4 linked regions of the Oreochromis niloticus genome follow. The protein of the gene in region 4 interacts with the protein of the main gene of each other region in a pairwise test. Links are inferred from orthologs where the notes say so. Each region holds a gene or a part of one and is shown on either strand. Other genes may lie near its edges. The genes, in order: myg1, syt16, tbrg4 and agtrap.

Evidence for each region.
Region 1: the proteins of agtrap (region 4) and myg1 interact in binary tests that used the Homo sapiens proteins (3 or more experiments, as listed by UniProt). The two-hybrid records come from large-scale screens. The link is inferred for Oreochromis niloticus from reciprocal best matches to the Homo sapiens genes AGTRAP and MYG1.
Region 2: the proteins of agtrap (region 4) and syt16 interact in binary tests that used the Homo sapiens proteins (3 or more experiments, as listed by UniProt). The link is inferred for Oreochromis niloticus from reciprocal best matches to the Homo sapiens genes AGTRAP and SYT16.
Region 3: the proteins of agtrap (region 4) and tbrg4 interact in binary tests that used the Homo sapiens proteins (3 or more experiments, as listed by UniProt). The two-hybrid records come from large-scale screens. The link is inferred for Oreochromis niloticus from reciprocal best matches to the Homo sapiens genes AGTRAP and TBRG4.

The regions. Positions count from the first base shown.
Region 1 is NC_031970.2:5,668,020-5,675,426, reverse strand, and holds the start of myg1 (MYG1 exonuclease), read left to right. Parts: upstream 1-4,400; 5' UTR 4,401-4,465; coding exon 4,466-4,750; intron 4,751-6,270; coding exon 6,271-6,383; intron 6,384-7,407. UniProt on the Homo sapiens protein: 3'-5' RNA exonuclease which cleaves in situ on specific transcripts in both nucleus and mitochondrion. Involved in regulating spatially segregated organellar RNA processing, acts as a coordinator of nucleo-mitochondrial crosstalk.
Region 2 is NC_031983.2:5,188,656-5,195,664, forward strand, and holds the start of syt16 (synaptotagmin-16), read left to right. Parts: upstream 1-4,002; 5' UTR 4,003-4,122; coding exon 4,123-4,135; intron 4,136-7,009. Other genes in the region: snapc1b (snRNA-activating protein complex subunit 1b), read left to right, coding at 1-63, 255-359, 694-852, 976-1,029, 1,183-1,245, 1,328-1,457, 2,219-2,290, 2,390-2,427. UniProt on the Homo sapiens protein: May be involved in the trafficking and exocytosis of secretory vesicles in non-neuronal tissues. Is Ca(2+)-independent.
Region 3 is NC_031976.2:19,413,204-19,420,271, forward strand, and holds the start of tbrg4 (FAST kinase domain-containing protein 4), read right to left. Parts: upstream 3,019-7,068; 5' UTR 2,866-3,018; intron 2,400-2,865; 5' UTR 2,313-2,399; coding exon 1,884-2,312; intron 1,771-1,883; coding exon 1,450-1,770; intron 785-1,449; coding exon 610-784; intron 447-609; coding exon 289-446; intron 200-288; coding exon 89-199; intron 1-88. Other genes in the region: potassium-transporting ATPase alpha chain 1, read left to right, coding at 6,126-6,131, 6,578-6,682, 6,917-6,976. UniProt on the Homo sapiens protein: Plays a role in processing of mitochondrial RNA precursors and in stabilization of a subset of mature mitochondrial RNA species, such as MT-CO1, MT-CO2, MT-CYB, MT-CO3, MT-ND3, MT-ND5 and MT-ATP8/6. May play a role in cell cycle progression.
Region 4 is NC_031970.2:11,712,601-11,719,847, reverse strand, and holds the start of agtrap (type-1 angiotensin II receptor-associated protein), read left to right. Parts: upstream 1-4,245; 5' UTR 4,246-4,544; coding exon 4,545-4,571; intron 4,572-5,406; coding exon 5,407-5,441; intron 5,442-5,632; coding exon 5,633-5,741; intron 5,742-7,247. UniProt on the Homo sapiens protein: Appears to be a negative regulator of type-1 angiotensin II receptor-mediated signaling by regulating receptor internalization as well as mechanism of receptor desensitization such as phosphorylation.

The sequences.
Region 1 (7,407 bases), about 6.0 Mb from region 4:
CAATGAAAAAAAAAACCCATATCTGCTTTAATTGTATGTCCTCAGTAGTTACTGTTTCTTCTCACCACGTTTGTTCTGAAAAAATAACTTTGGAACTCATTACATTTTGCCAAAAAAGGAGTTCTTGCAAAAGTTTTTTTTAAAAAAAATCCATTAATATTAATTTTGCTACAAAGTACAGCACTACACACATTTATACTTTCTCTTATATTTTGCATTTTGCACCAGACTTGTTTGTATTTTTTAAAGTGGTCTTGATCATAGGTTTTTAAGTCTTTCTGAAGCCTTTCAAAGTTTTTCTTTGGATGGACACTGACTGCTTTTTCACTCATTTTCAGTCCAGTCCTTGTTCTTGATCATTTTCATCTTTTTGCTTGTTTGTTTGTTAAATCCCATAATACAAATCACTAAAGCATAAAAATGCACTTAAGACAATTGATGAACCACTGTTTTATCTACACATAACAGACAACTTGGCAAAGAACCAATTTTAAATTGTATTATTAGGCACTCGGTTACTAACAGCCTGTAACAAAGACACAGTTTGTTCCTCTTGCTTTAGTCGAATTTATGACACTATAGAAAGATGACACGTTTGACAGGCATGAAATCATATTTTTGCAACAAGGTGATTCCCAAAGCGCTCTTATGTGATCTTGCAGAAAACCTGGTGTATCTGAGCATGAGGTGCAGTGTGTTCTTAAAAAATTTGAGGAACCTGGCCAAGAAGAGGACAATGAAGAAGTGGCAGACCTAAAAAACTCTACTTCAGATGGGACGTTTTTCCATTTTTCAGCATGATAATGCAGCAGTCACCAAATACACAGGTACACAGGTTATGGTAATTACCTACTTGACCAACTCACATATTAGCTGTATTAAGAATCACTAACTTAACTGAAAAAAAGGAGTCCCATAAAACTAAGATGGAGAAGGACTCACCAGTTAGGTCAGGAGTGAGCTGTCCATGGTACTGTTTAGAGGCTACAAAGTCCAAAAGCAATAATGCACCAAATACACTCAGTATACCTGGCAGCATGGACAGAAATAAGACGATGCTTAAATGTTCACAGGTAAAAACAAAACAAAAACACAACAAAATAACTAAATTCATTGTAAATGTTTAGCCTTGTGATATCCTGCCCAGGGTTTACCCTGCCTTTTGCCCTATGACTATGGATGGATGGACAATTGGACGTTTTATTTTTCCATTTAAACTGAAACAGCTGAATGTCTCCTTGGCATAGGATGGTAAATGCCAAAATGTTATTTCTATACATTTTCCTGATCCCAGAAATACACTCATTTAACCTTTTGATCACTGTGCTTTTCCCTGAAATGAGAACATAAAGGATCGGACTGGTTTTTTCCCCACCTTTAAAACAGACTGATAGGCATAACTTCTTACATTAACCATGTTCTTTCACCCATTATTTCATTCATTCATTTTTAGTACCACACATATAGCATATTTAATAAAGCTTTAACAGCATATAATATAGTATTATATATGCAATTGCGAGTGCTTGAGTTCTATTAATAGTATGGCTGTTTAATGATTTGGAGGTGAGCACGACGTTTGTTTGTTTGTTTTCTGTTTGTCTCATATCCTTTAAATCTCTCCGAGTAGAGCTCCGTTTCTGCGGGACACTTAAAAAAATCCCCCTTAGTCTTCCATAAAATACAAGTTGTGTATTTTGAGGAATAACATTGGGGCTTCAGAGGAAATACATAGAATGATGGAGTGTGGGCGTCGACTGCTTAAGTCCCTTTACAGGAGAAACCCTACACCGGCCTCTCTGTGGACTCCCCCACTCCAAGTCAATGTTTATCGATTTCATTAGGCTGAAATAAAGACTTGCCAACGTGCCCGCTGAACTGGTGACACAGACGATGAAGCAACTTGGTTAAATGACTGGGACACAGCGCCACCTGGTGGTTCGACCTCAGACAAACATCGCAGCAAATATTCTCTGACTGTATTTACCGTTTTAAATGTGTCAGACTTCATGACTCATTGTCCCCATATTAAGGGAACATCTGCATTGCTAAGCAGCTGCAGTATGAATTGATGCCAGTGATACATTTGCATGCGATCATTAAAACTGGACAGGAAGAATATATTACCAACATCGAGAGAATGAATGAGGCTCTGCAGGAAGCAGGCTGTGCATTCATAACGCTAATACAAAATCCTACCTTTTGCAGGCTTGCTGTTTGGTTTCCGCTGGTAGATCGGTTTGTAAAGCAGGAAAGAGCAGCGGTTTTTCACACGGGAAAGCCCTTTAACCGTGCTACCTCCGTTCAGCCCTGCTGCTACTACTGGGGTCCCATCTGGCTAATTACCTTGTCAATAAACCTTGAAGGTAATACCGCGAGAACGAGAGTTGGGGGTGAGCGCTGATCCTGACCCTCACTAATGATCCCATCCCAATTCCAGCATGGCAGGAAAAACAGTCCAAGGCAATAACTCAAGGTTTCAATAATATTTATGCACGTGTCCATTCATATTAAAAACCTGTCACTGTATTGTAGATTTCATTTAAAAAGGAACAACAGTTCGTTGCGCCTCAAGGTGTAAAACAGTGTAGAACAAAGCTGACCAGGAAAATGTTTATATGCATTTATATTTATATGTATTTATTCATATGCACATGTCTAATGCACTAACCTTTTTACTGTGATGAGACTCTTCTGTTGTGTGCATCTTTTTTGTTGACATTATCCTTGAGATGGAAACTGGACAGTGATTGGATGTAATTTAGAAAGACACACACCCATGAGCTTTTCTCAGGACAAACACTAAGCCATCAATCTCCAAAGATGACTTTATCTACTCTAATGAAAGTGTGGCGAAGTGTGCGGGGCAAAGGGTAGAAAACCTTTTCTTGTGTCATCCCAGCAGGAACAGTGGCCTAAATAACTGTGAAAGGAAAAAAAACAAAAAGGTTTGTAACCACCAAGATCTCAGGTTGCACTAAAAATGCACAAAGCTGTGAATGGCTGAAAATAAGACAAATGGACTTTCACCTCATCCAAGAGGTTTTTTCAGTTTTAAAATAACTGATGGAGAGTCCCAAGTATTTAATACATAGTGGAGGCGTCAACCTGGAGGAGATCCTATGGGATAACCCAGCTAGGTGTTAAACCTGGAGTCTCCATCAGTTGTAGAACTGAAGATTCCTCTTGAATGAGAGATACAACGTCTTCACAGACAAAAAATGCACAGCCTGTCACAGTGTCTGTGTTGCTTTTTATTTGATCTTCTTGTTCTATCGGCTGCTCATCTCATCTCAGCATGTCTTCCTTCGCTACATCTATGAACCTTCTCTGCGTTCAACCTGTTTTCCTCCTGCCTACATATCCATCTTCAGGATCCACTGAATAGTGTAAACTATCCCTCTTCTGTACATGTCCAAACAGTCTCAGTCTTGCCTCAGTAACTTTGTGTCCAAGATGCTCAACCTCAGCCCCATCACATTTCTGTATTTTACCTTCTTGCTTCTGTTTCTTAGATTTAAAGTGTGCATGTTATTATTTTCTAATGCCATTTCCCTACTCTTTTGCACAATCTCTGTCTCATTTCTTTTACATTTTTCTTTAACTTCATTTTTTTTTATTTTCATCACTGCTGTATATATCAAATAGTGCTAAACATTAAAAATAGATATGAGATTATTTTTATTTATTTATTGCACTACCTCACACTATAGGCCTGAAAGTCTTCATCTCTGCCTCTTGTCATTTTGTCACTGCCACCTTCTCTATCCATACATCACAGCACATCTCATTACAATCTTGTAAACTTTTCCTTTAAATCTTGCTACCATCCTTCTCTCACAAATCACCCCTGACTCTACACCCTCTCCACCCTGCCTGCACTCTCTGCTTCACCTTTCTTGTGTACTGTCCCCTGCTTTTGATAGTTGACCTCAGGCATTTAAACTATTCCACCTTCACTTCACCTCCTTGTATCTTTTCTTGCCTCTCTCATTGACAAAAATCTATTTTGTATGAGAATACGAAACAGTGAATCCTTGTAAATTTAACATAATTATTTTTTATTATTATGTAATTGTAGAATATATTTTTTAATAAAATAAATCATGTACAGTAGTACATAATTAACCATTTGTGCATTATACAGTGTCCAAGTCCTGCTTTTTTTTTTTTTTTTTTAACCCTGCAGCGTCCTCTGCTGTACACAAGTTGAGTTATCATTCTCCTGTAAACGAGCTTCTCCGATAATATAATCGCTCTGATTACCTGTGTTGTTGTCACCTGTGTTGTTTATCACTGTCTGCGTGAGTAATTTAAGCCCATAAAGGCAAACAACACAACGGTAACAATGGTGACAACAACAAAAATGTTACCCGGCATTTTTAGTTCTCTAAACAGGAGCACCACATCCGGTCCGGCTGTCAAATGTGTCCGCCACTGGCGCGTCTCGTGGATTACTCTTTGAATGTTGGTCGTGCGTGTTTTTTCGTTGGCGCTTAAATTAACAAAAAATAGATATTTTCTGGTAACGAGTGAAGCAGCAAGTGTGTCACGAAAGGTATTCTCGCGGTTTAGCTGCTTTAGTTCGCCCGTGCACTTTGCTAAAGGAGAAACGCGCTACATGTCAAGTGAGCCGAAGAGACTCTGCACCGAAAACATGACCGTTACAAAGATCGGAACCCACAACGGGACCTTCCACTGCGACGAGGTTCTGGCTTGTTTCTTCCTCCGGCAGCTACCCGAGTACTCGGTGGGTGCAGCACGCTGCAGATTGATGGAAACATGTTTGGGGTTATTGCTAACTCCATGCTGTGCGTTTAATTTTTTAATGTAATCACTGTGCTCATCGTTACTAGCTAGGTAGAATTTAAATCCTCCCAGGAAGTCCTCACCGTAAGGATAAAGCCACATCTGCATTTTAGGAAAAAACAATTAATCTTGTAATCTTCTGTTGACGGGTCCAGTGTTATGCAAAAAAAAAAAAAAAAAAAAAAACACACCAAAAGGGGGCGCTGTGTGTAAACGGATAGCAAAAACGATTACAGCATAAGCCGTTGTATGGTGAATATGTCACACATTTCAGTGTTATGGTCTGAAACTGAAAATACAGTTTTTGTGTGTGTGTATAGCCAGCTTTGCAGAGCATTTGAGTGAATTTTTTAAATAATAGTTAATCTCAACCTAATGGCACCTTTTGTCTCTAAATGGTACAATACTTAATATGGGTGATAAAATAATATTGATCAGATACAATACTGATCAGAGATTTGCTGCACTGCCCTAATAAAATCTGTGACCAAACCCAGGTTATAACCTGTCGTAGCTGTACCGTTGTTTTGTGGCACTGTATTGTTTATATTTGTAATTTTTATAATTTATATTAGTAACATAAATACCATATTTGATTACCTCTGCACGTCTGTGATTTATGCGTAGTTTAACAGAAACATTTTGATGACATATCTGAATTGACATATACTTTATACAGTCAAAGCTTAAAGGTTGGACCTCCAAACACAGTGCTGGGCTTCTATGGTCTAATTTTTCATGTGTTTTTTTTCTTTTCCCTCTGATGAGATTGTTGTAATGGTCTTTTAACAGGTATCAATCAGAAAGCATTAAATCAACTTCAGATGGTGAAAAATGCAGCAGCCTGACTTCTTAGAAGAACCAGGAACACTGAACATATTACGCCACTCTTAATGACTCTACATTGGCAGGCCATTACTTCTAGAACTGATTTTCAGATTATAGTCATTACTTTTAAAGCCCTTAATGACCTGGGCCCAGAATATATACTAAAACTACTGTTCCCGTACCAAACACCAAGCAGCCTCAGATGCTCAGGCAGAAACGTGTTAACTGTTCCCACCTCACATTTGAAGACTAAAGGTGATCGAGGGTTTGCTCTTTGGTCTCTTTAGTTGTTGAATGACAGTATCTTCTGCTCTCTGTCTTCATTAGTGTCTTCTTTTAAATCCTTGTTTTTAAAAAATAAATTTGATATAAAATGAGATTGTGTATGTTTTTCTTTCGATATTCTTTTATCATCCTGTTCTTTTAGATTTGCTAATTTGACGTTTTTCATTACATTTCGAGTCTTATATGCCTTAATATTTATTTATTTGTAATTTCTTTTTAATTTCATGCTAGTTTGTTTTTTTTATCCTGTGTTTCTGGAAAGTAAAGTGTTATACAAGTAAACAAATAATAAAATAATTATTATTATTAATTTATTTTGACATATATTTCTTTCTGTTTGTTGCACAGGATGGAGAAATCGTTCGCACCAGGGACCCTGCACAGCTGGCGGAGTGTGACATTGTTGTGGACGTTGGGGGAGAGTTTGACCCAAAGAGGCACCGCTATGACCACCATCAGAGGTGCAGTTCTGGCAGTAAGCTGCTGAAAAGAGAGAAATTTATAGCTGTAGATTTCTAAAATATTATGTACTCTGAACTAAGACTGGGGGAGAGATTAATCTTCACTGTTCATCAACAGTAAGGGTCAGGATCATATCACAGATTAATTTTATGCCAGCTGAAAAATTGCATTTCAAGTTTAAGATTAAACTCTTGTTTAGTCCCAAGTGCTGAAAAAAACTCGGTGTTGCATTTTATTACATAAACAAATGTTGTTAGAAACATTATGGCCCAATCAGATTAGTGGTGTGACGATATCGGCCAAAATGAGCTATTCATGTTTTCTGTCTGTATCGGTAGTTTTAAGGATCAATAAAAGAAAGTTTTAAAAGGTAAAGAAGATACAGGAGAAACACCACTCAGCCATGTTATGAGTGTTGATGTTACATAGTTTTTCCAACAGAGGGAAAACTCTATTTCCCTGTCGGCCACTCTGTTTAGGTTTTATTTTTCTAAAAGTAAAAACGGCTGACATATCAGATTATTGGATTTTGAAATTGCCAAATATTGGTATCAGACTTAACAATCCTATATCGGCCAGACTCTAATATACGTATGTACCAATGGAAGGAAGCGTAATCTTTAAAGTCTCCAGTCACTTCCAAGCACTGAGGTGCACCATCTCCAGCAAGCCAAAATAATTTATTGGAATTATTACGCCTGGATTTTTCCCGCTTTAACATCGTCAACGTACAGCCTTTGGGATTTCTTTTCATTATCTGAGCTCTAATGATGAGGAACTACATTTCTGGGTGGCTTCTGCTCTGACATCTTTGAAGCACCCTGATTGCATGAATCATAAAGTAACAGGCTCTGTTTTTTGTGTAGAATTTCTTCCTGATGATTGCATTCACTCGACGTCTCATCACGTTGAGTAATCAGCCTATTCCAGGTGTCTTGTCAGCTTAATGTCCTGATGATAATCAGCCATAGCTTTTATGACCACTGCGATAAAGATATGCCAGGGCTCTCTTCCTCGCAGGCG
Region 2 (7,009 bases), on a different chromosome or scaffold from region 4:
GTCTACATACTCCAGCAGCTCATGTTCTGTAAAGCTTTCCACTTCACCGCCACACCCTCTCTGGTTAGTTTCCTGTTTAAATATTTTAAATATATTTTAAGGTGGATCTGTTTTATTTTATTTTCAGCTTCCATGATATTGTGCCCACAGCACCCTCAGAATTCTGCTCTTGGCTGACAGGAATTGTAGTCCATCCAAGGCTAGAAACATTACATCACTAGTTAGAGTAGATATATCTTCTTTCCTTCCCCCAGCTCACCTACAATAAGAAGAGGAAGGTGGAAAGGTCGCCAATGCATGAGAATTTCATGGAGCGAGTGTCCCGTCCACAAGAGCTGGTTAACATCGAGCTGCTGGAAGTAAGTCGACCCTTCCTTCCCCCTACTACCCAAACCCCACCAGATGTAGCTACACAGCAGTCAAGCTGCATCACATTTCAGGCTGCATTTCTCTGCAGAAGCATCCTGTTCTCTCTGTGACATTAAAAATACTCAACACAAAGTGATTTTAGCTGCATAGGAGGGCAGGAAAGTGAACACAGGAATGACATGGAGCATCCTTTCAGATTTCAAAATAAAAATACTGCAAGCAGACTAAACGCCTCACTTCTAAAGGCTTGTTTATTGGTGTGTGAAAAAGGGAGTAGACATCAACGACACAACATCGCAAACAGGTATCTCTGTTGTCTTGCAGGAAATGGACAACGTTCACCAGCACTATGAGAATCTGAAGGCATCCACCCTCTCTCTGACATCAGCACAGCAAGATCCGTCCGTCAGCCTGATCCGTAAAAACCTCGTCCCTCAGCTTCGCAGCACTGTGGTCGACTTCTACAATTGGCAGAAAAGGAAGGTCTGAAAACGGAGAACATATCTCCTGTTGTTACAGTTTATTTTACCATGTTGTAGCTTCACTTTTTGTGGGTTTTTTTTCTCCACATCTGATGTGATGCTGTGTCATGTTTTGTCCTGACAGGACAGTGTGGATGAAGAAGAGGACAGCAGTGAGGGACCATCATCCCAGCAGGAGGTGAGATAGCCACTTCAGTGTCTTACCTCATGTCTCTTGCAGGTTTAGGTGATGAATAACAGGAAGTCAGAAAGCTGTTGGAGTTTTCCAAAGATGCTGTAACTTTCTCCAGAGACGCCTCTGTTGATCTGCTGTCTTTGTGTGTGTCCCCAGTGCTCCAAAAGGGCAGGGCTCCTTGCTTCCATCAAATCGAAGGCGTACGGACAAGCAGCAGAGGTTTGTGTCAGTGGATACAGTCTTTACTGATTTTTATATTTATTGTGACAATTTATTATTTTATATATGTTTTTTCCCTCAGGTCTCCAAGTCAAGGCGTCATCGCCAGGTGGAAGTGGATTTCACCAGTAACGAGGCCCCCACGTTAGGTCGCTCCAGAATAACCAAGCCGTCGCTCAAAGCCAGAACCAGTGAGAATCTCCATATTTCAGGTAATCTTCCTGTAACCACTAAAAATACAACATTTCCTGATCTTAAACATTTCACACCCGTTCCTGCTTTATGTGCGATCCCAGGCCTTGGCCATGATATTGACAAACAGGAAGGACTAAGTTTGCATTAGATTTTCTAAATAAAACCCTTCAGTAAGTTGTAGGAAATTATTAGCATGCTTTACGATTCCATATTTTAACAAATAAATAAAAGCCTATTATTGCTATTCCCCTTCTGTTCTTTTTGGGCAATTTATTTACCTTTAACTTGTCCAGCAGTTGCAATAATCCCACTGCAGAAATTCATAGTCAAGTGATGTAACAACAGCATAAATGTTAAAAGAAATTAGTAATTACAGCACACATTTTTTAGCATTATAAGCTCTATATATTATCTACAGTGAAGCTGCCTCCGTACTGAAATCCATTTCCTTGTTGCACGTCTTTGAAGTTTCTGACGACTGTTCACTTTCTGTGGTCCCTGGTCACCACGTTGCTGTGGATCACTTTCATTGTGGATGTAATTAAGTCTTCCGAGGCACCGGTAAAATTAAACAGTGACACTAAAGTGCTAAAAAAACACGCAGAAACAGGCTGTATTTAATCTATAAAGCACCTCAGTTAGACTAATCACTGCACATGTATACTATGCTTTATAATTTTCACCTGCTGATTATTAAAATGTTTCCATCAGTGACAGAGAAATTCCAGAATTTTACTACATGGAAACTCTTTATGAATGAATCCTTTGTACTTCTCAGGTGACTTGTGGACGGAAGCCATGACAACCACTAAGATCAGTCGGCTTGCACAGCTCGAGTCTGCTCGTGATGGTGCGTGATTAGGCTCTTTTATATTTCATGTGTTTGCTCACTGGCCCCTGCTGTCTTTTCATTGGCTGGCTTGTGTTCTTTATGTTGTTTTTCTTGCAGATAAACCGAAACAGTACAAAAAGTTCAAGTGGTCCTGAAGAAACTGCACAACACTGGAGCTGCTGTTCAGAGCATTCACTGAAGTCTGATATGTGCTTTGCTATTATAATAAATCATGTTGACATCTTTACCTTTTTTTTTTTTATATACATGTTTTTAAATTATTTTTTAATCAGTTCATTGGTGGTTAAATTACAGTTACAGTAAATTATTGGAAACATTGTTCATAGTAAAGCTTATCGCTATGTAACTTTCTCTCTGAAGGAAACACCATCTGCTGAAGCATTTTCATGTTTTATATAAAAACTCATTTTTTACAGTTACAGTTGTCTGAATCTTTCTTGTGTAACATTCCATGTGTTTGAAAATGTGGACATCTGGTTTTCAGTAGCCTATCTTGCTGTTTAGAATAACCTCAAATGTGTCTCTTGTAATTCATTATCTTCTTTTTGCTTGATTTGTTTTTCCTCGCAGTGCTTATAATTTTTGGGAAAATGCCAAGATGTTAGTCCTTGAATTCTTTAAAACTGATAAAAACAGCTGGAGGGATGTTTGTAAATTCAATTTTAGCCTAAGCTAGTTGTTGCTATGTTAATAACTGGCTTACGTTTAGCAGCTTTAGAACTGTAAATGTACTATTTAACACTTTGTTTTCATTTTTTGACATTTTTAGTAATTAATAAATTATTTATCAATTAGTCCATTACTTAATCTATGACAGATTTTTTTAATATGACTTTTATATGCTTGAACTATACATTTTGACAAAATGAGAGCCCAGACCTCACCATTAGGCAGCAAACATCCAAGAAAGCTGTGGTGGAAAGTCTGCAATGAAGTCAGCTGTGGTCAAGCTTTTTAATTACTGCATGCAGGAGAGCAAAACAGACATCGACCATCACAGTTACACAGTCAGGAGAGCTCTGCTCTTGAGACGTTGCAGCTCCCTTTTCACACACAACTCTCTGTATCGTTTGAGTTACAATAGTTTCTTGTCTACCTGTGCTGTTGCTGGGCAGAGCGCGTTCACACTATGCTCCAGGAAGCACCCGGCACTTGCCTCCCTGGGAGTTTCATACAGTCAGCAGATAACATGGTTAAGCAAACTAAGCAGAGCATATTGACACATGCATCCTTCACCTAAGAAATAAAAGGCTATGCAAAGTTCTACAGTGAATTTGTAACCACTTCATCTAAATGTGAGAATAAAGTAGAATTTTGCCTTCACACGTCTTTAGAATGTCTCTGAAGAAGCCTGGAGAACTGTTCCTGAAGACTATTTAAAGAAATTCCAAGAAAGCTTGCATAAGGAAGCTCAGGCTGTGTTGAAGATTAAAAATTGTAACACTAAATATTGACTTTCAACCTTATTAGAACTGTACAAACTCTGCATTTTGATGTGTTTGCACAAGACTTTTACATAGTACTGACTGTATGTGTGAAACAATATTGTTAAGTCATTATAACTTACACCTATTTGCCCCCCCCAAAAAATAATAATAACCGGGACATTTTTAATTTGCAGATCACAAAATATTGAGTTGTAAAAAAAAATAATAGAATATTTAAATTGTTGAAATGTCCCACAGTCAGTGAACGCCTCACCGCTCACCGCTGTGTGACTGCAGATCTGCGGGTCTGGAGGATGAGGAGCGGCGGGGATGCTTGCTGCCCCCTCTCCTCCGATGATACATCTGATTCTGCTCGTAGTCTGAAGGGAAACAGCCTCAGCCATGGCCTCTGACAGTAAGTATACCCACCTCCTCACCGTGTGACTGCGTCTAATGTTTTTGGTTTGCTTTTTTTCTCCCTGTCTCTGCTGTTTTCAGGCTCCCCTCCTGGTTTATTTTGACTGACTGGGAGCGCCAGTACATGAAGGCCAATTTATCAATTCCTTTGATTTGCTACAGATATTTTTCATATGGAGCGAGACTGTTGCTCTTTAAGAACCTTTTTCAGTCATCATTTAAGCGAATTTAATTAATTATGTCATTCGTTCTGCTGGGGCTTACAGCAAATTTGTGATACTCCGGACAGTTAATAGTTGCCTCATCATGGCCACTTCAAGGACGCCTGTTTTGCTCGCACAGTTGGGCATAATAGCTAATTGCACATGAAGAGCATATAATATGAGAGATATTGCAATATATATCTGTAAGGACCTTGATAAAATGTAGCGGGATGTGCTGGATGTTACACGGGGTTTCCCTTTCTTCTGCCAATGGGTTTCCCAAAAGCAGAGCCTCCCTTTAGGCTGTTCTGTCAGTCAGGCGGCGCAGGTGGTGGAGACAATGATGGTTTGTCAGGTAGCGAGAGAAGTAGGTCAGAAACAGACACAGAGACCTCGTTTTGTTTCATAAATGAAAGCCAGAAACACGTGCCATATTTTACTATCTTTCATTTTAATGTAAACTGTTGCATAGAAATAGTTTGCAAGTTCAAGTTGAACTGTCGAGTTACCCTGTGTCTTTCAAGCAGAGTATTAGAACTACAGAACTACAACATGGCATATTCATACATTTATTTATTCATTCAAATAGAGAGTAACTCAACAGGTGTACATATGACACAACATGAGAGGCCTGCTCTTCAACGACTTTAAAACTGTAGCCCTTTGTATGCAGAAATATTTTGCTGTCACTATTGTTAATAATAAAAATTAATTTTGAGGAAATAGATGTTGGTGAAATGCAACAAAAATGCAAGCCATGTTAGGGTAAAGAAGAATAAAGGCTTATGTGCAGGTCGGTTAAATCATGAGACTTCAGATGCAGCTCCAAAAAGCAGATTCTGTTCATCTGGGCGTAACGTTTTCACTGGGAGTCGGGGGTTGGAGGCTGAAATATCCTGCAGCAGTAAGGCCCAATGGACATGTTAGGTGACAGGCAAAGTGTTGTTATTTTTGTTGTAGAATTTAGTTTACTGATAAAATTTTATTTAATATGTTTTAGTGTGCAGTCGATTTACTTATACAAAACAAAAAAATCATGGGCACTGATGCATGCAGGAGGACATTGCAAAGCATAAGTGTGCTTCCTCATGCTCAGGCCACATTTGCAATAGGTATTGTTAGCTCTATTTCATATTTGTCAGGAGGCTTGACTACTAAAAACAGTCCTTCTGTCAAGATTTAGAGGACGCTTACTTTGACAGAAGGAGACCAGACAGTTGCTTAAATACATGCAAGTGTGGTATGTGTGAGAGACCACAGGCAGGTTGTAATGTTAAGACTTAGTGTCTTTTTTTTAGCCTGGTGATGCTGATGTGAGTAGCCGTTGTATTAAAACCCATCCCAGATGAGAGACTGACCAATGAATGAGCTTATTTCTGCTTAAACTGGAAGTTGTCCTACATGAGCTGCCAAAAAACCTTTCACATACAGTTTACTGTGTCAGCTGTGACTGTGAGAATGAAAAATATGTTACTGAAAATGAGAAACTCATCTGTAAGTCAAGAATGATTGGGAATCAAAAAAAATCAATAGATGTGTGGAACAGCAGCTGAGCCAGAGACTTTTTGATATAGCTTATACTGGATGTTTACAGAGAATCTTAACCTGTCAGTGATGCTAAGACAAGATTCAGAACAGCATCAAAGCAATGCTCAGCATGCTCCGCAAAACAGTAGGAAGCAGTTAGCCATGCACGAGAGGCTGTTTCTGGTTATTGTGGCCTAGTTACAGACTGCTTCAATGTCTTATTCATGGCTCTCTCCTCCCCGCTGTGGAGGAGGGCTCTGAGTACTATCTAATGTTGCTGCTGCTGCTGTGTGTTTGTGTGTGTGTGTGTGAGATTAACAGTATGAGGACATTTAAACTGCCTTGAAACCCATTTTTCCCCCTTTTTTTGAGAATAAAGGCCTAATGGTGGAGTTATAGTATAGTACCCTACTAGAAAGCAGACCCACATAGTCAGTCGCTGTTGCTTTGCCTTACAGGCTTTTTGAAGTCACTAAACATTTCTCGTAAGGGTAGATATTAGTAGAAAGTAAACTGAAGCTACAGAAGGTATCGGCCACAGTCAAAGGTGTCCACAAGGGGGCACAAGAGTTCTTCTTTGGCTGTCCGGCAAACAGAAAATTTAGGTCCACTATTCTCTCTGGTTTAACTTTGTTTGGGGGGCTTATCACCCTATGATGAGCGCAGTGTTCCTCTGTGTTCAGTAGTCTGTCTTTAGCTGTCTCTGCTGCTGAGCAGGTAGTGTGTGTGGATGATTTATTGGCGCTTGTTTGCTTGCTGCAGCTCGAATGGCTAAAACCTACGACTGATGCCCACATTAACAATGAATAATGGATGAATCCTGGACTATTTTTAATTGCTGACATGCGTCCTGCTGCATCTGAGGGCTAGCAGCACCTGTCCAGTTTAACACTGAGCTCAAAGCCTGGTTAACCTGTGCGTCATGCTGTTTAGCGTTAGCGCGAGTATCAGTAAGGTAGATTAATGCATCTCTACAGTTTGTGCTCCATGTAGCAAAAAGGAAAAAGCTTTGTTTTTATATGTCTTATAATACTTGTGTCTGATACCAGAGCGTACTTCTTTGGCCACTTCAAAAAACATTTTTTAATAACATCTACACTGCATCATGGACCTCTCTTGCATTATCAGTTAATCCATTTTAA
Region 3 (7,068 bases), on a different chromosome or scaffold from region 4:
TTAATCAAAATGCCACAGAGAGCATTCGTTTTAGTTAGGAAGCAGAACGAAATGTGCACAATCAAGCAAAAGCCTTTAATGACAGCACCTTGTTAAAGAACTCGTCTCCTTTGCTGGGCTGAAAGCCCAGTCTGGCGAACGTCATGAGCAGATTACACAGCTGAGGAGTACTATACTTGTCGCTGTTTGCTGTGTAGTGCTGATAAAACAAAATGTACAGAGAGAGAATTTAAGATCACAGATGCACAACGTTTTGAAAATGACTTTTATCAGGGGAAGATTACTCACCTCAGCAAAGGCTTCAAAGAGAGGGATATGGAGCCATTTGAGAAAACCAAGTGACTTAGCACAGCGTGTGATGTCACCAGAACTGAGCTCAGGGACTCTGGGTAACAACTCTGAGGCCATTCGCTGAAATACCTGAGAATGGTGGAAACTCAGCTTCCCTAAAAGCAATGATAAAGGTTCTGTTGTTGGCAGCACAGAGTGTGTGAGCAGACAGTCATATAGAAAAAACACAACCAAACCTCATTCATCAGGTTTATCAAACCTAATATAAAGACTTGTGATGATAACACATACATAGCCTATTATTTATGGTGTTATTACCGTATGCAAAGGCCATGTCCATTATCAAAGGTGTGGTGAACTCTGCCGAGGGTTTCTGGAGAAGGTGGTAGGACAGAGCCCTGAGAAGTGGGACACTTCTGCGCCTCTGAGCTGCCAAAGATACACAGACTTTGCGAATATCCTCTCCTGAAAAGCCCTCTGCAAGCTCCAAAGCCTAAAAGTGGAGAAAGAGGATCCTTCATATGATTTCAATATATGTCAAGTCAAATCAATTTATTCATATAGCACATTAAACGCAACCAGCTGCACAGCAACTAAAATTAACAAAGAAACAATACAAGTAATTCAAGAAGAATAAAAACAATAATAATAATGATTAGGGAATGGAGCAATAATATAAAAATGATAATAGTAAGTTAGATGAAAACAGTAAAATAATACTAGAAGAAATGCACAGAGGAAAATGACAGTAAGGTGAGGCAAAATATATTAACATATCCCACGTTATATTTATACTCCAAAAGAAGTTAAATGAAAGAAGAAGATAGAAAATCTCTGTACAGAGTTTTATTTATATGGACACCGTGTCTAACTATAAGTAACTTTCACTCTGCTGCCACTACAGACACAATCATTTTTATATTTTGTATTCAACACATTAATATTTCAACTTTTTCTATAATATGATGTATAAAATTTCACACATGCTTTCTCCATTTAGCAATCTCATGGGATTGCATGCAAATGACTTTAACCCAGTTAGAAGGGCCAAACTTTTAAACACATAAATCTGCCTAAAACACTGACAATAAAAGTTGAAACTTCAAAACTGGAACTTTAACCATGTTTTAAAGGTAAACGTTGTTTGAAGTGTGATACCTTGTCCTCCAGTCTGTCCATCAAGCTTGGCGACATGTGTTCTCCTTTGGATATCAGCGCACTGACAGTTTTCACATCAGCAATCTCAGTCCAGCGCAGCTCAAGTTGTTTAAGCGTAGCGTTCACTAGTTCCACATCCTGCTGACCTTTCCTGCCTGCTCCCCAGTCTACCAAGTAGCCCAGCTGTCTGTACGTCAGCCTTCGAATTCTCCACAGGACTTCTGTCTGGACAGAACTGAGCACCAGATCGCCGGGGGAAACGCCCATAATCCAGAGAGTTCGCAAGACAGACACTAGACTGCTGTTCCACACAGAAGACACCTAGAATGCACAAAGACACATGAGATGTTTATCTCAACAGACAAGCTTAAAATCCTTTTGAGTTTGATAACTTTAATAGATGAGGGCAGAGCTAGTACACCTCACTCATGTACCTGCCGAGATAAAGTATTCATCATATCCAGGAGCCTTGAATCCGTCATCAGCTCTGGTTGTTGTTCCTTAAACTTCCCCTTCGTTTTTAGTACCAGCTGGGCCCACTTCATGAGGGCGGTGGCAGCTTGATTACCATTACCTCCATACTTTTCCCAAGCAGACAGGATGTCCTCTGGCACTGTTGCCTTGTCCACCGATTCGTCCAGCTGTGTGCGAGTAGGGCTCACTGAATAGTGGTCTTCTTTGGTAACTGCTGTTCTTTCACACATTGACCTCTCTGTGAGCCATGGCCAGCCCTTGGCTCTTTGAAACTCTGCAGGCCCAGCAGCAGATAGAGGTAGGCGAGCAGCAGCAGCAGCAGCAGCTGAGGCCTGAGAGGAGGATCTGCAGAGCAGACGGGCACATCTGCCCAGGAGGCGGCCAGCCATGGAGTCTGAGAGACAGAGAGTGGCTACAGACAGGAAAGAAGGGCTTTCTTACAGCTCAGCAGCTGCTGTCACCATCCCACTTTAAACCTGAGGGGGCAGTAGAGAATTCAACATTAAGTGTGGCTATAAGAAAAGGGTCGCCTTTTCAATCTCACTACAAGTTAACACATCTTCAAGTCCGCCAAATGCTTTAGCCATGTTTCATCTTCTACTTGTGATACAGATTTCCTGAACAGTGTCGCTAATGGTGATAAAAGTGGTTGTATAACCAGTGGTACGCACTTTCTGTTCGTCAATAATGCATCTAAAGCTAGCTCTGCAGTACATGCTATTGTAACGCGGATTAAAATCCCTCTTCTGTACACGGAACCCCGCAGCCAGAGAGAATACGCTGGTCTTGTCATGTAACGTTGAATCCTGACCTTGTAGAGAGGAAGAGGCGCAGTGAAACGCCGGTCTTCCATCTACCTCCCCTCATAATACTCGTGTCTGTGCCTCGGAGAGCAGACTCACTGCACAGTTTCACCGGCTACCCAAATAACCAAAGGCTTACCTTTAATTTACGATCATTTTGGCGAAAGTTGTTCACATGGAAAGTGTCTAGGAGAGATGGTCGCAGAAAATTGACGTCGTCGGACACTGTCACGTGATCCGCGGATGTCGCTGTCATTGGCTGGAAATGTTTCGAGTCGCCCGACAAGAATCGAGAGTCCAGGTCGCGTTCAATAGCGCAAAACGTGTGTTTGACTTTAGTGTTGGACAAAAACCAGCCTTGTATTTAAATCTGTTTATTTTATAATGTAATCCATTTCTATATAAACCAAATCCAAACGTTCACCGGTTCATGAATGAAATGAAGCTCACATTCTGGGCAAATCTGTCTTATCTGCAAGCTACTTAGCCTAGCTTACCGTCACAGTTGGTGTGAACGCTCTCATCACACTTGACAGGAGAAAGCACTGTGCAAAACTCTTGAACCACCCATTGCATTACTTTTTATATGTTGCTTACATATTTTTTTTCTTGAGCAATAGTTCTCCAGATTTTCTGAGGGTCAGTCATTCTTTGGACATTGGCTGCTTTTTCATTCATTTTCAGCACTGTCCTTGTACCTGGCCTTTTTCACGGGAATTTGGCTTTCTCTTTTTCTTCTTCTTCTTTTTTTTGTTTTTGATCAGCTACTTAACAACCAATGAATCATTCAAAAAGGGGTGAACCAGTGCTGTGTCTACACCTAGCAGACAACTTAGCAAAGAACCAATTTTAAATTCTATCTTTAGGCACTTTGTTATAGCAGAATGCCACAAAAACCCATCACTAGTTTCCATTTCATTTTCTATATTATTGTAGGTTTGACAGGCAGAGTGATTTCCAAAGAGCTACAGCAAAAACAAAAACTTAAGGAAACCAGACCGGCGGAGGCAGGGCTGGGCTGTCTGAATGTGCCATACCTGGATTTAATGGGCCAATGGAAAGTCTAATGAAAGTGGTGAAAAGGTGGAGTTGAAAAGCTGAGAGAGAGAGAAAAAACAAACAAACAAACACACACACACACACAGTACCAGCAAAATCTACTAACCAGCCCTCGCTTGTTACAACTAGTTACAAACCTTTAAGGAAGGGAGAAGTTCAAGGGTTCAGGCAAAATTAATGGCTACTCGACCAGTGAATGGCCACTGCTTATAGTACCAACTGACTAAAACTTGTGTCAGTATCAATAATAAATATATACTGAGTAATCATGGTGAGCCACCTCGACTAAGAGTTCAGCCCTGGATGGAGGAAAAAAGAATAAGTAGCAGCCCAAAACACTATTTACAACAGATGAATAGTATCTGAAAGTCATGTTCTCATGAAATTGGAAACAATTAAGCAAAGTCCTGATACAGAACATGAGATATGCATCTGGATCTTTATTCTACCCATCTACTGTTTGCTAAAGCCTAATCAGAAATGGTCTCAGTGGAAGGTTGGCTGTAATGAAGACATGCTTAAGGAAGGGAAACAGGGAGAAAAGGCTGATATATGTCAAATTACACAAAAACTGAACAAAAATCAGTGGCGAGAGGTCTGATGGAGCAATGATTAAAAATTTGAAATTTCAAGCCGTTGTCATTATCTATAAACGAGGAAGGGACAGTGGTACAACAATGAGTGTCTGCAGACATCTGTAAAAACACAGCGGAGGCTCTGTCATGTTTGGGGCTGCAGATGACAATCTGAGCAGAGAGTTTCCTCTCACCTATCACCCTCCAGCACTGCATGCTTAGAACTGATAAAAATACTTTGATTATCTAACCACTGTTAGACTATTATACAGCGTGGTATAATATTGACTCCCTTAAACACAGCTTATCGTACCTGCTATTTATCTTTTTATTTACGCAGCATGCAAAGAGTTCTACGTAGGAACAGGTAAGGGACAGTATGACCTTAACTCTGTTTGGTACATGACCACAGGCTATTGTAGTTAAAATATATATAGATACATAAATCAACTCTGAACTGGCCATTTATTATTTTCAAATGCCCTTAAAGGCGTTCGTTCACTTGTTGTAGTAACTTTGCATATAACAGAATTTTAAAACACCATATATACATCACATGCATATTTGAATGGGTTCTTTACCTATTTGGCAAAGCACAATAAACTTACACATATATGTGATCTAGCGCTCATGATTTGTTTGGTTTTACCATTCATTTTTAGTGCTGTGATGCAGCTGTAGGGATCACAAACAAACATAAATGGCAACCACTTTCCACACCTGTGGACAGACAGGAGTGCATTAATCACATGTGGCGGTAGTGAGGGGTTAATGCTGTTAACGGAGGGGGATATGGGCTTAGACCGATCGAGCATGAGCTGTCACAGTGCCAGTCTCTGTGACACTCAACTTGCAGCGGGAGGCAAGCGACATCAGTGAACACGCCAACACCATTAACCTTCCTCTGTGGTCGAGGTAACCTGCTCCAGCACCGCGGATAAGCTGAGATTGGCAGCAGGTGTGACAGCTGATTAACCCCAGCTGCAGGCAATTTTCCCTCTGATGTTTCTGTTTGTATTTTGCTTTGTGGAGCTGCAGGCCGTCATTGGCTGTCTGGTCCTGTGGCACAGCTGTTAGGCTGTGAATTTTAGTTATGTCTGTTTTTTCACGTCTTTGCCATTAGAACTACATTTTGTTATATACTTATATAATTAGTAATAATCAGTTAATAATTTTCAAAAATTCAGCCAATTAGATATTAGATCAGATCAGATTTATCTGAATCTATCAATGTAAAGTGGATTGTTGTTCAGCACTGGGAGGAAGTGGGTGCACTGCAATGTTAAGATTATGTGGTTAGAATGACATTGGTTTCTTTTAACCTTCACTGTTCTTTGCTTTTAATTTCATTCAGTTTATCAGGAAAAACATGCTAAGGTTAGATAAGAGATACACAATACAGTTTCACTCATATCATAAGCTAGTGTGTGTGTCTGTGTGTGTGTGTGTGTTCTGTGTAACCTGACTAGAGGTGACATTTTACGCAGGCTGCTTGATAAACACGAGTCTGTTTCCAGCAGTGTGAGTGCGCATGTGCAAATTAAAAGGACTTTTTGAGGTATAAAAACCTTTCCCAGAAAATTTGTTGTGTCTCAGACCATTGTGTGTGTGTGTATGATCGCGTGTGTGTGAGAGAGAGAGAGTGAGAAACAGGGTGCGTGTTCAGGACTGTACCTTAAGTGACAAAATTTCGGGGACAAAGAAGGACCGAGTGGTGTGGACCTCCATTGATTTGGGAGCACCTTCCCCTGTCACACCTGCAACCATGAAGGTAGGTGACGCAGAATATTCTGAATTAAGTGTGAAAAAGAGCAGCAGGTAGATCTATTAAAGAATAAAATTGGTCTATTTAGTCATTTCTGGTATATTTATAAATGGGTTCTAAGGAGTTTATATGCTTAAAGATGTCTATAAACAACTGTGCAGTATACAGAAATGGCTCAGTTGAAAATAGCAATGTATAATTTCAGGTATATACATAAATAAATATGTATTATTTATCTAATTGTACAGTTTATCTGTGGGTTTCGTAATCAGGTGGTAAAAAATATTAATTTAACATAAACCTCATTTAATAACAGTTTAATGTTAGCAATACAAATAGGTCACATTGAAGGGTACTGTGTATACCAAATGTATGAAATTATTTTGTTTTGGTCTCTTCACCATCAAAAATATATGGACTTAAGTATTGTTTCCATATCTACCTGCATTCAGGACTCATACGACATGTTTGAAATGAATGGCGAGATGGACAAGAAGAAGAAGAAAAAGATGAAGAAAAAGGAAAAGCTGGAGGGCATGAAGAAAGAAATGGATATAGTGAGTGATTTTAAGAAAGCTGTTCTTTTATCACCTTTAATCATATAGAATGGATTGGGCGTTACTTGATTAAAGGTCCTATGACTTTCCACGTGACTTTTATGACTTATTCCAGCTGCTGTTGAGATCTGACCAAAATGCATCGATTCAGATATGAGTACATAACCTTAGCTCGCTCCTATCTCCCCTTTGGAAGATTTCTGAATCTGTAATTTTGTCTGTCTCCTTCTGCAGGATGACCATGAAATAACAATTGAAGAGCTTGAAATGAGGTACACCACCAGTGTCGATAAAGTAAGACATTTCTCATCTTTTATTTCAGTCTTGTTTTCACTCTTGTTTATTTATTATTTATTATGCAACATTAAACAAGACAAAGGCGGTTC
Region 4 (7,247 bases):
ATTCTATTATAAATAGGCTTCTGGAACAAAAGATAGTGGGGGTACTGGAGGGTGGTTCATCATTCTGTGGAAGAGGCAAGTCATTTAATAGTTTAAGAATAACATTTCTCAGTGTAAAAACACAAAAAGAAGGTGAAATCTTCATCATCTTCAGTGCTCAGTATCATTAAATTGGGATAAATCTTTGTATGCAAGGGACAAGGCTGAAAACCAACGGCTGTGATGTTGAGTTTTGCCCTCAAGCAGCTGAAGTCCAGTATCCAGAAAGCTTTAGAAACCACAGCAAGTAATGCCCTCGGTTCTGAAACACTTAGAGCGTGTTGTTAAATGGAGAGGTGATGCAACGCGCAGTGGGAATCATGCTTAAGTGTTTCTGGCATCAAAGTCAAATTAAGCATATGTTTGGCTTCGTTTTTGTTTGTTTTTTGTTTTTTTTAAATCCCCCTTCTCCTATTTATATTTTAAACTTTCTTGGAAACAGGGTTGCTCAGAATATGTAATTAATCCCCTTCCACCACTGGGCCAGAAGTTAGTTAACTAGTCCCTTTCTTTCATTATCTTATATCAGAGTTTTAAGGAAAAAAGATAAAATCTTTATGAAGATGAAGACTAAATGGCTCTCTTTGATCGATACACTTTGTAATGTAAGCCTGTTTCAAAGAGAGCATTTTCCTTAATATGGAGATTTTTGAGGGACGAAAGAAGCACCATCTATCTTCATGTAATAAGATAATCTGCCAGCTACACTTAAGTCTCAGAATGCTTTAACACAAAGCTTACGACACATTAGAGCAAGTGCAAGAAATTACATTCAGTTCAAATTACACAAAGCCTCTGCAAATCTATCCATATCAATATTTCATTAGATGAAGAAAGTAACACAGATTTTTCTTTCCTAAGCACCATCTCAGTTGAACTACGATCGTGCTATCCTGATTTACAGGCACAAAATAAAAGCAACAGTCATGTATTTTTTATATTTACCTATGTCAGAGTGCTCTGGTAGAGTGCCCTGTTGAAACCTCGCCAACAGCCAGAGAAAAGATAGATTACACACAGCCACATCCCAGTAGGGCTGCAGCTACAACAAATGCATGTTTACCTTTCTTGAATTAATTAACCCCCACAGTGTCTATTTTAAGGGAACTTTTCCAAATCAGGTTACTTCTTAGAGCACATAGATGAGCAAGAAATGAAAAGAAGTCACATGGGGCTAGTCCGAAATCTGCCTCCACTTGTCAAAACATCAAAGAAATTATTTGTGCTCAGTTCAAATATTAGTTTTTTTGTGAGTGCTGAATCTGTCTGGACAAAGTTGTGATGTTAAACTACAAAGTGTAACATTTGTGTGTTTATCCCACTGCAGTCTCATTTTCACACACATGTATACACGAGCACATTCAGGACAGCACGTTAAGGCTGCTACATTTAATTATGGAGGCTTTTAAAGAATTAATCTTTCAGTCAAAGAGAAAAATTCATTTGTGTGTTGCCACAGGGGTCAGAGGTCACATGTGGGGTCAGAGGTCACATGTGGGGTCAGGGTTAATGCTGGATAGTGCAGAGACCATATGCCAACACTGGGCCATGAATCTCGCTTCAGTGAAAAGGGCACAGAAGTGCCAAAGACTGAGTCAGACTGCAGAACAGAAATCACAGAGAGTGAATCTCATATTAACATTTTAAAAGTTCGGCAGCTGCTCTCATCCACAGTGACTTACAGCGAGCTCAAAGGTTAAATGTGCTAAAGTCCAGGGACATAATGTCACACAGGCATCGGTGAGGAAGGCAAATGGCAGTCACGTAAGGAACGAGTGATACATACTTCATGATTCTGGTCATTTAGAATAGTAAGACCCATAGGGCAAGGAGCTCTCACCCTTTGAAATAATATAATAATCAGACAAGCACAGTTTTGAATGATTTCTACAGCTTTCAGCAGCACCTCCATCCACTGATTCTCTTCCGTCATGGCGGGTGGAGCCTATCACAGCTGGCAGAGGGCAAGAGGCAGGGTAAACCCTTGACAGGTTGCCAGCCTGTCACAGCATCTGCACCTCCTGGCTTTCATCCACTGGAGCTGTACGTTTGGCAGTGTGATGACAGACGAGACTGCTTATACATATTTTATATGCTGTAAGTGTTTCTGTGGTGATATATGATTATGGCTATTACATATGTTTTTGTTAAAAACTATACTTATGGACTGAAAGACAAGAAAAACGTTTTCCACACCAGCTGTGTAAGGTAATATAGGAATGCACCTGCAAGATCTTTTGACCGGACTGTGATTTAATTGGACTTCACCAAACGTCTTCAGGAATCTGGGATCCATAAATCCATACCAAATTTCCATGTGTTCTCCCTCCAGTTGTTGAACTAAATAAAGTTTTAGCCTACTTTGAAATCTGATTTAGCAATAAGAAAATCCTTGTGAATTGAGTCCACATGTTGTATTCATTAAGACTCAATTATCATCAGAAAAGTGTTTACTAAGAACTCAGTGACGTAGCTATAGGTTGTTTTTTTTGGGGGGGGGGATATATTGTACCAGTATCTATTTAAACAACAGGCATCACCATCTGCTGCAAGTAGCAACTAATGCTCAAAGTACTCCTTCAGTCACAACTTCCTTTAAAAGTCATTTTCACACTACTGTCTGTTAGTGCTCCTTTGATGTTATCAAACACAAAAGTTTTATGACAGTCTAATGGTCTTGTGGATACTGGATGATTTAATAATGCATGAAAACGTCTGCAAGAGTGTATGCTGATATGTTGATGTGCTGCCTGACAGTGTTTCATTAGAAGTAGCAAACAATAATAAACACATCTATCAGCATATACGTGACTACCAAACTCCTTTTTTTAATAAGCAGTGTCATTGTGGTATTCTGTTTCATGAGCTGTAAACACACAGGCTTCCTCAAAATGTGCATCGATTACGTCACAGCTGGTCCAACCTACAATAAAGCTTAATGCTGCTTGACATTAGCGTTGTTGATGTTCTGTTGAAACTGCTTTGAATACAAGTGACTGAAATAAACTTATTGAGTTCCTCTTTGGAGAGGCTGCTGGTTCACTCTCTCTGGCTGTTTCTGATATTAAGGCCCATCCATTTCATGCTGTTTAGTCGTGCTGAGTAAACTTAATAGTGTGTCACATCTGACAATGGCTCTCTGTCTTTAGCAACCGCTGATAGCTAAACCATTTTTAACTTGTTAGCTGTCCTCCATTGACCTTTGTTCTCCAAGCATTTCTTTTATATTTTTCCTTTTTCTATCCTTACCTGGGTAAAGACATGATTCGGGATGTGGATTAGCAGTTACTAAAATACAATAAATTAGCTGTGCTGTGAATGCATCTGCAAGAGTGGGTGGACTAAGCCACTTTGCCTCATTTGTAAGGGATGAAAGAGGCATCAGAGAGCTTCACTATTTGGAGCCCAGGGTGCTTGGGTAGTCAACCTCTATCACCACACTTTATATTTAGTTGACAGAATAATAATAACTCTTAAATAAAATTTTACTCGTTTAATTTTTTTAATATTAATCTTGTATTTTTTTCTGTCAGCAGTGAAAACTTCACAGATTTTTTTTAAATATTAATATACTTTTAGATAGGCCACTTAGGAAAACTGAACAGGGGTGTGATGCGAATCTGAGTACAGTTATATCCTCCCGAGAATGTGTAATAGAATAGTTTTTGGTCCATATCTTTTGACTTATTTGAGCTACTCTACTAAGATGTAATAAAGAAAATTCTGGACTTTCAATTGAAATCTCGTGTGTTTGGGTGGCCTCTTTTTACGGAGCCCCGCAGGGGACATGGGAGAAAAAGAAATTACGATGAACTTTTGCGAGATCTCCCGAGTTTGTTTTGCGAGATCTCGCAAAAGTCCGTCTTAATTTTTTTTTCTCCCATGTCCCCTGCGGGGCTCCGTACTCTTTTAGCCCCAAAGAGGCAGGAACTCACAAAGAAAAGTTCTTTTTTCAAGGTTCTCTGGAATATGTGGAAGTCTGCTGTATTGAAACTACAAAGTCCAGAAAACGGACTACAGAATGCCCATCTTACCTCACCCTAATAGGTTTTACCATGCTGTTTACCATGCGGGGAATATAAACTAAAAACACGAGTGAAATGTCATTTCAATATATAGAGAGAATATATACAGTTATTATTAAATTATTAAATTCAAGTTCTGCTTAAGGAAGTGATCCAAGAAGCACGGAAGCGGCTGACTGCCGCACACATATTTCCGGGTCTCTTCAGTTAGTTAGTAACCTTCCTAAGCAAATTTGCCAATTGGACCGCACCCCAGGGGCTGGGGGAAGGGGTGAGAGGGTGAGAGGGGCAGGAGTCACATGGGAACGAGTCAGGTTGCTGTCACATGGCTTGTGTTTGCAAGGCTGAGCCGACGGGAGGAGGGGTTTGGACAGAAGTTTGTGTAAGAAGAGAAACTGCGGTACTTTTTCATGTAGCTCTTTAACAAGTTGAAACGCCGAATCGGATCAAGGAGGAGCTGCTTTGTCCAAACAGACAATTATGGAAATCCCTGCCATAAATCTAAAGGTGAGGTTTACTTGCTGCGTTTCTGATTGCCTCGGCTTGTACGCTCAAACAAACGCTGGTTTTCAATGAAATGTCAGCTCTGTTCCTCAGTGGTAATTCCTCTGTGTGGCAACTACCTTCCTCTGCTTGTGACTCAGATCACAGTAAACTGCTGCTCTACTTTTTGCTATTAAGTAAGAAGTGTTTAAGGTAATGTTCAGGGGATAAGGTCCCTGAAGGACATTTTTGAGTGAGTGGCAGCAGGCCTTTTGACAGAGGTCAATATTTAAACATATAAACATTTATTTTCACTAACGCTGTATTTTGGCAAACACTTTAAAAACTCATATGCAGTGAATTTGGAGGGAATATTAAATTATAAACTGATGCCTTTGATTAACTGTGAAACTGAACAGGGACAAAAGTGTCATTGTGCTCTGTCCACAGAATAAAATGGTTCAAATGTAATTTTGGACAGCTCTTTCAAGGATTATAAAACCTGTGATGTCAAAAGTAGGCTTGAAGGACACTAACACTAACTAATATCCTGTTTTGTGTAATATCGTGTATTTTTTTATATTCGTGCAGTGTATTCAAAACGGCAGAAAAGATTCAGTCATTCATTCATTTTTTCCAAATCAATTAATTTTACTTTGTTTCACAGAATTGAAGAAAATCATATGTATAAAAAAAATGCAGTTTGGCAGGGCTGAAAACAATGACTTCAGTCTTCTTAGAGGGCTAAATAAAAAGAAGAAATCATTGCTATAGATTAGCTGATGATCTGAAGCTTTTAACTGGTGTGTGAGTGATAGATAGTTCAGTGTAAACACATTTTTGTCCTTCTCTATTCCAGGCCATCGTACTGGTGCACTGGCTTCTTACAGTCTGGTGAGTATGAGCACAGGCTTTTTTTCCACAAACCTGAGGAATTTCTCTCCTCTTTTGGCACACAGACACATGCTTATACTCCTGATTCAGGTCAACTCTTTCACCTACATGTCTCGTCCTCTGTGAAACTGCACGTAACTCTCCTGGAGTGTGTAAGAATCTGTCTCGTATGAATTGTGTGTTTCCTTCAGGGGGAGTATGGTGTGGCCGCCAGTGGCCTTCACATTGGCGAACCTTAGTGTTTTAGCAGTTGGAGTGTGGGCGATTGCACAGAGGGACTCAGTAGATGCAGTGATCATGGTGAGTCTGCCTTCACTTTTTCATGCGATCTTATGGCATCATGTGACACATAAAGTAGTCCAACTTTAGGCGCAGTGCTGCATATCTGTGCTAACCTATTTGTCTGTGGAATCTAGGGCATTCTGTGAGCATCCCTTTAAAAAATAGCCTTCCCTTAATTCAGCACACAGTACAGTAGCTGAGGACCTCAGACGGTTTACATTTGCTTAAGGAGCCATTTTATTTTAAATGTTTGACCCAAGTTTCAGAATTGCTTATACACTAACCAGTTTTATGTTAACCCTCATCATACCGTAACTCTGAACCCGTGACTGATGTTTCCATTGTACATTAGTGACATCAGCTGACTAAGGGGGAAAAAAACAAAAAAAAACGTGTGACTTGAGAATTGTTTTTTGATTGTGTTCTGAAGCAAGAACAGCTTTTATCAGATAGGAAAAGATGGGTGCAGTTGGCTGTTCTCGACTGTTAGAGAAAACTATTTAGTACCTCATCCTGACTGTGGGTCAGCAAAAGAACTGAGCCCTTCTCATAGACTGTAGAAAACGGCCACAATGGGTTGTGGTTTTTAAAGGCTTTAGTTTTGGATTGAGTTTCACTTTCTGGCCTTGGCTGTGTTCATTTTTTTTTTCTATCTTAAGTCAGATCTGACCAAATTAACATGAGCAGGCAGTGAGGAGGCGTTGCCAGCTATTGCTAGCTAGTTTGGTTAGCAAGGTGCATCCATAAAGCGTAATATTAAATGGGATGCTTATTCTGACTTGCAACAAAACAGGCTTAAAATTAACATTTTCTTAACGGAGATAGTCGATAGCATATTGCTCAAGTGTGTTTTTGTATGACTGAACACTAAGCAACACCAGATGTCAGAAAGTTTCCAGCTGCCAGCTTATGCATTTCTGCTGTAACGTTGGACATTTTAGCATGGGAACTGAGTGGCCTGTGAAGCCAACCTCAGGGGCTGCAGCTTTTGGTGCTTCAGCTTCAGCTCTGATTTCATTTTTCAGCCCCAGAACATTTTAGTTGTGTGTTCACTGCATAAATACATTTATGCTGATGCATAATATTTAACTTAAAGTCCACCTTTGAAGGCTTCAGGCTTTGGGTGTTTACAATGAAGGGATGAATCTTGAGCAAAAACTAGCTTTTCAGTTTGTTATTCTTTGACAATTTTGACAGTAATGGTTTTGGTTTGACAGTTTGACAGTACTGGACTCTGTCACTGTACTGAACCTGTGGGAATTATAGACCCTGGGATGTAACCACAGGGGAGCCTTTTACCTTGTGTACATTAAAGTCCAATGTCATATTCACTCATGTCCAAGACCTATCAAGAAGACTGGTGCACAAGTAATTGATAAGGAGGATTCCTTAGCACTGAGTGGTATTTTAACTTAGATCAAACACTCAGCCAATCAACTGCAGGTAATATAGTCCATTGTATAGCTTTTCCAGTATGGTGAAGTCCTGGCAGCATTTTTCTCAGGTGCCTTAAGTAAATTCACT